Bombyx mori: one gene and its partner. The protein of the gene in region 1 interacts with the protein of each later gene in a biochemical or structural test. Links are inferred from orthologs where the notes say so. Each region holds a gene or a part of one and is shown in the gene's direction. Other genes may lie near its edges.

Region 1 (4,291 bases):
GGAATGTTATGTTTAAAGATGAATTGACCAAATTTTACAGGGTGGATTGATACTCCTGAAGAGGGGTCACTTTCAATCTTAGAAACATGTACTGCAAAAGGTCCCAAATCTGATGATAGGTATTTACGAGTGTATGCCGGGGTCGAAGGTTGATTATTTTTCGATGATTTTGTCGAATTTTCAATCCTAGTTATTTTGTGTCTAATGGACTGATCATCTGCGATTGGGCCTCTTTTCCGCGATGAGGCTTCATTTGGTAATAGCTCGACGTCAGGAATAGGTGAGGAAGAACTTGACCGAATGGAAGGAGCTGTCAATGTTGAAAAACTTGGAGATCCTAGGGATTCACTATCCCGGGATTCAGAATCATGTTCTGGTATCCCCGGATCGGGAGGTTTATTTTTGTCAGAATTCATATTACATTTTATAAGTGAGGGTACACCATAAAAAAGAATTAATTTATAATAAGTAAGAAAAAATGATATTTAAAGAATATAAAACTACTTACCAACACCGAGAAACATAAACTAAACTAAATAAATAAATGTTAAACACTCACAAATAAGGAAATATTTACAAATAACATGCAAGAATAATATTTAATAGACCGCGATGATAACCACGTGATATTCGCACTAGAGCTGACCACAGAGTCCAAAGCTATTTTACTATTCATTAATTATAATTTGAAGTCACCATAGAGTTACTATTCTAACTGGAGTGCTTACTTCGTTTGACATAAAAACTAAAAATATACTTTATCTCTATGCTTTAAAGTTTATTTTTAAATAGCAAAAGATGTAAGGAAAAACGGTCTGAAAAGAGAATGATTATTAAGTGGTGGTGTCCCTCTCGCACATTTTACAAACAAAAAGCAGTGTTGCTAGCTTAGAGGATTTTCCATAAAATCTCGGAATTCGGACCCCCGTCTTAGTTATCAAAAATGGCTTTTAGTGGTTAGTGGATTTTTTAGTAGCTTGGGCGTTGTAGAAAATTATCGAAAAGGTTAAAATCAATCCACTTTACAGGATTTTAAACATTTTATGACAATAATATGTCTAAATACATATTATTTAAACGATGTGACTTAAACTTAACTAGAAAATTTTGCGACAATTTAGAATTTCCATCAACGTCAAAAATTAAATTTGTTCAAAATAAACATACAAAGTTATGGTGAAATTAGTTTCTGATTATGACAATTTATTAAAATAAATTATATAAGAAGTATTGATTTTTAATAGAACATCATATATTAATAAAGCTTATTAACAAAAAAATTTTTGTTCTATATTAATAAGAACTCTGTTTAATGAAAAATTTAATGGTAGGTACGTAGATTTCTGATGGTTTTCATGTTGAATTTGGTGGGAAGCCAGATTAATTGTTGGCATCACCGAAAAAGAGCTATGAATGGATTAAAAGAAAAATGGCGTCTATTTACGTTTTAGTGCGAAGTTAAAATGGCACTGATACAGCTTGTGGCTTGTTTTTTTTCGAAAATCGTGAAAGTTTCCGTGTAATCATGGTGAGCACTTTTAATGTAAGTGGTTTTAAGCGAGAATCCTCTCCAGTTTGTGGAATATCCTTCCATATGTCAGATTCATTGATAAATTTTTACTAGTGTGAGCATATATTTTTAAACTGTGAGATATTTTTTCTCATTATAATATTTCATACCATTTGTCTTGTAAATTGTACTTAATCTATGTCATATACTAAATTTGAAAAAACAATCGTGAAAACTATAATTTTGCAATGTATTTTTCATATTATAAGAGCCATCACGTGGTATTTTTTGAACTTTTTTTATTGTATTGAATAGCGTCGCACGCAAGCATGTATATCATTTGCCTGACGTTAAGCGAACGAGGAGGATCTTCTAGTAAATATGACGTTGGAATTTCTGGAAGATGTCCTATATAAAGGTCCAACAAGAAGAATCAAGTACTCAAACGCAAGAAATAAAAAATACCTCGAGAAAAGCAAAATTACGACAAGATGATAAGGTATTGAAACAAAAACTTAAAAGTCGCGAAATAGTGATTGTAAATATAAAGTCGATTTTAGATTTATTAAAGAAAAATGGCGATTTTTAATTGAATTGAAATTTAAATTGCGACATTTTAATGATACTCATGGTCCACTTAGATATTGATTAAAATAAATTATGTATTTCATTGAAAAAAATGAATTCACTTAAAATAGAGGAAATGTTATATTAAAAGACTACAGAAAATTAACTGAACTTAATAATAATAATATAACCAATATTTTGTAAATAGAGATCAAGTACTATGTGTATTGTGTTATGTGTATTGACTTGTCATTTAAGAGTTATTTAATTGTCTACATATAACAAATAAATGAATTTCAGTTCATTTCAATTTATTACCCATTGTGTTTTATTTCCTAAAATGTAACTAGTAGACTTAATATACACGTGTCATGAAAATAGCACAGAAGTAAAAATAGAAGCAATTTTAAATCAATTTAAGATGTGAATGTAGGAAAAGACCACCCGATACGCGCAGACCATGTGTGTTGCAGTGTCTCACTCAGTGTGTCAAATATTAATTTGCACGGCCCACTTAGCCAGTACATTAAAGTAGGAATTGCGTAATTAAGTTCAACATAATATTTAAGTCGCGGTTGAGTATTCGGACGTTAAACATGAGTTTGAGGAAGTTTAAGTAATAGAACTGAGGTAATGATGTTTGTAATAAAACTCAGTGCTAGATTTTCGACAACGCAGCAATTTCCAAAAAAAATCGTCGAAAAAAAGTCACCATGACGACGAAGCAATGTTTAGAATTGAATTTACATAAATAAAACGTTGCAAGCACGTGTTTTGTATTTACATAGGGTTACACAGAATTACTTAAGGTAAATTCAAAACTGATGCATGTGTATAATTTTGTCCTATAAATAAATTTTATATGGTCACCACATTAGACAAGGACACCGCGACCAAAAAGTATTCTCTTTCGAGACCGATTTCTCGGCATTAGACAGCACTCCAGTTGTAGGTACTTATTAACTCCATGGAAGTCACTAAGTGCCGGCTGACCATAGTTTTATTTATGATAAAATTTTCTGAGAAGTTTAGTCGATAACGAGACAAATTAAATGTAAACTTGACGTATTATTTCATATAAATATTTGCATGTTGCAACACTAAGTCTGTTGATGTGTCGCGATTGCCCGATTGTTAGTTTCACTATTTTGTAAATTTGATGAAAGAAAACAATTATTAAATAACATAAATATACAAATTAAAGAAAGCAAAACTTATTACAGCTTTCAATGATACGAACATGGACGACAGGCAAGTTCTTTGTCAATCTCTCGTCACAACATAATACAACTACTAAAACAGCACTAGAACAAAGTAAATCCTGAGTGAAATGTCTTTTAACATTACAGAAACATGGAATCGAGCTGTTCCACTTGTAACGAGATTGATGGTGAACATTTCAAGAGCATTATACATATTGATTTAGATTGTTTCTACGCGCAAGTGGAAATGGTGCGAAACCCCGAACTCCGTGATGTACCGCTCGGTATCCAACAGAAGAACATTGTAGTGACGAGTAATTACGAGGCAAGGAACTACGGAGTTAGTAAATGTATGCTCGTTACTGACGCACTTAAGGTTTGTCCAAATTTGAAACTTGTAAATGGTGAAGATTTACATAGTTACAGAACTGCATCAGGCAAGGTGTTTTTAGTGTTGCAAGGTTGGCGGTGTCCCGTTGAAAAACTTGGAATGGATGAAAATTTCATTGATGTGACAAGTCTTGTGGAGGAAAAATTAAAAAATGCAAACTTAAATGATCTCATAGTTATGGGCCAGCTATATAGTGAACCGAGTGCTGAATGTCCATGTGGTTGTCACAACAGACTAAAAATAGCATCACAAATTGCAAATGAAATGAGGAAGAAAATTTATGATGAGTTGGGTTACACAACTTGTGCCGGAATAGCTCATAACAAGTTGTTGGCTAAACTAATTTGTCCCCTGCATAAACCTAACAACCAGACCACAATATTTCCTCAACATGGAGCCAATTACATGTCTACTCTGACCAGTGTCCGGTCCATTCCAAGTATTGGCTCCAAAACAATGGAAGCATTAATTTCTCAGAAGATAATATCGGTCAGTGACTTACAAGAAGCTCCTTTAGAGATTCTGAAAAAACATTTCAGCAGTGATATGGCTGTTAGATTGAAAAGTTTAAGTTTAGGAGAGGATAATACTCCAGTAAAGCAAAGTGGAAAACCTCAGAGC
Region 2 (2,888 bases), on another chromosome or scaffold:
CCTGCAGCACTGAGCTACGATGAGGCACCATCGATCAACTATACTCGTTACCCGTTGTAAATATACTGAGATCTTAGAACCTATATATCTCAAGGTGGGTGGCGCATTTACGATGTAGATGTCCATGGGCTCCAGTAACCACTTAACACTAGGTGGGCTGTGAGCTCGTCCACTCATCTAAGCAATAAAAAAAAACACTCCCCTCGCAGAGGTAACAATAATGTAATGTAACGACATATAGGGCTTATAGAGCAAATAGTCTGTGGTTATAAGTCAGCAGACGTTTGGAACTTAAATACATACACACAGTAAAAAAAACTGATGATCTTTTCCTCTACCTATTCACTGGTAGCCTAAGGTGCTATTCCAGCTACGTGCGGACGGGTGAGCGAGTTCAGGGGCTCAGGTTGAGAGAATTTGCTAGCTAGCTATCCTAGCAAGAGGAATGCACCACAGAATCTACCACATAATAGGAATCGCGACCCACTGAGATGATCCGATAAGAAACTTAATGAGCTGTGCCTATAGGAACGGGTCATCGGAATCATATAGTTGCGTGGTCACTGCCAGACACTGACAGATTACTGGTGGTAGGACCTCTTGTGAGTCCGCGCGGGTGGGTACCACCGCCCTGCCTATTTCTGCCGTGAAGCAGTAATGCATTTCGGTTTGGAGGGTGGGGCAGCCGTTGTAACTCAGAGTATACTTGAGACTTTAGAACTTATCTCAGGATGGGTGGCGCATTTACGTTGCAGATGTCTATGGGCTCCAGTAACCACTTAATACCATGTGGGCTGTGAGCTCGTCCACCCATCTTCTTCTTCTTCTTCGTCGCTTTTTTCATTGCTGAAGGTCGTGTCCCTGAAACTTGACCGTTGCCTGTCTCGTGAGCTGTTTCCATCTCGTCTGGTCCTCAGCTGCTCCACCCATTTAAGCAATAAAAAAAACAGCCATCCTGACTGTTACTGCATTGCAGCGGGCGGCCAACCTGAGACGGGTACATTCATGTAAGTCGATCTGATACTTCGACCTCATGTGTCACTATGATGTCTATGGATTCTGGTAACCACTTAGCACCGGGTACACCTTGAGTTTGTCCATCCAATTATCGCAGAAAATTAACATTTCACCCGGAGATTATGGGTGAATTTAAAAAATTAATTAATATAATTTGTATTAAAGATGTTGAAGACAACAGGAAACTGAAAGCGCCCATAGTTTTTTTGGGAATAAGCGTAGGTAAGTTCGAAGATAATTCTGAAACGAAGAAATCAAAGAAGATCAGGGATTACTTCGAAACTGGAGCTTCTAAGGACATTACGAACAAAGACAATAAAGTATCTTCATTAAAGTCCGAGGAGCTGTGTACGACCGCGCCGCTGGGAACTAACCATTGCAAAGCGAAGACGCTAGAATCGAAAGGAAAAAAAACTGCAGACAAAAGTTACATAATAAATAAATTCTTTAAAGAATCCAACATAAAGACGGAAGCCAATATAATTGAAGAACAAACTGCGCCCTCAGCAGAATATAAGGCGAAATGTGACTCCGTACTAGAGACCAGCTTAGACAGACAAGAATCGTTCTTTGCTAAAATTCTAAACGATAAGTTTAAGGAAAATAGAAATGTACTGAATTCAAAGAGTGACACAGTAATCAAACCGTGCACGCCGGTCTGTGACGTCATCGAGCGTGGCGAAGACAGTGACCAGTCGGATTATTCACGATCGACCATTAACGATGAAATCAATAAAAGTATTGCGCTGTTCGATGAAGATCCTCAGGACGTCCAACGTGTGGCCAGGACTAGGGAATTGCTCAAATCTAATGTTGAAGTAGAAATTGGGACAGCCGGCATTGACGTCGCCGGTCAGTCTGTGAGGGGTGAGGAGAACTACAGTTGTCCTGAATGCGGTAAAGCCGTACCCGTCGGAGATCTAGGAACCCACGCCGACTATCATCTCGCTTTGAACCTAAGAGACGAAGAGAGGCAAACGATTCGACTAGAGCGAGATCAGTTTGAAGCGCGAATTCCTGTTGAAGATAAAAAGAAAAAGAAACCTCCGGACGATATTAATAAAACTGAAAATACAATAGCAAATTTTTTCGTCAAAATCAACGAAAACGTACCGACGGAAACGTGTTCCGAGTGTGGGAGAAAAGTGCAGTTAGATAAGTTTTCCGAACATCTGGACTTCCACGAGGCTCAGAGAATTAGTCGAGAGCTCAACAAGAAGGTTACGGTGAAAATAGGAAGTGGCGAGAAAAGAAAAAGAAAGTCGCCCGTTCATAAATCCAAATTGCCTTGTAAATCTATAACATCATTTTTTAAATAATTGTGAGATTAATAAAATGAAATTAAATTTCAATATCGTTGTTGTTTATTTTATTAGGAGTAGAGCTGTCCGGCTGCTTTGTTTTTTAAACACCGTGTTTATTAACGTGTTTATTATTTATTAAACCCACAGAATTCGTGAAGATTGGATAAGAGAAATTTTAAATATTTCTGTTCATATAAAATTTATTTAATTATATTTATATCCTTTTGTCTGTTATGTACCTACTTACAATTGGTTGTTCATGGGTAACAAACGAAATTGCAATTTGTTTTCGGTTTGAATGATAATCTCGTGCATGAATTTAATTGCGTGTGTGAATATGACGTGATTAGCCAAATTATGTTGATTTATAATGTCAACTAGCGATCACGGGTGAAAGACCCATCGCAGTATGAAATGTTTAAAGTTGTACGTGGTGTCCCACAGAAAGATTGAATGATTTTGAGTCGATCGTCCTAAAAAATATTTTAGCTACAAAGTTTAAAAAGGGTTTTTTATAGTCAGAAGGAAATCGACGGACTTCCGCTCTCCACTGGGGATGGGCGGGGC

The links.
Region 2: the proteins of DNA polymerase iota (region 1) and DNA polymerase eta interact in far-western blotting, tested with the Homo sapiens proteins (2 studies listed by BioGRID). The link is inferred for Bombyx mori from reciprocal best matches to the Homo sapiens genes POLI and POLH.

The regions. Positions count from the first base shown.
Region 1 is NC_085131.1:9,772,654-9,776,944, reverse strand, and holds the start of DNA polymerase iota, read left to right. Parts: upstream 1-1,311; 5' UTR 1,312-3,317; coding exon 3,318-3,328; intron 3,329-3,426; coding exon 3,427-4,291. UniProt on the Homo sapiens protein: Error-prone DNA polymerase specifically involved in DNA repair. Plays an important role in translesion synthesis, where the normal high-fidelity DNA polymerases cannot proceed and DNA synthesis stalls. Favors Hoogsteen base-pairing in the active site.
Region 2 is NC_085116.1:15,897,294-15,900,181, reverse strand, and holds the end of DNA polymerase eta, read left to right. Parts: intron 1-1,182; coding exon 1,183-2,336; 3' UTR 2,337-2,369; downstream 2,370-2,888. UniProt on the Homo sapiens protein: DNA polymerase specifically involved in the DNA repair by translesion synthesis (TLS). Due to low processivity on both damaged and normal DNA, cooperates with the heterotetrameric (REV3L, REV7, POLD2 and POLD3) POLZ complex for complete bypass of DNA lesions.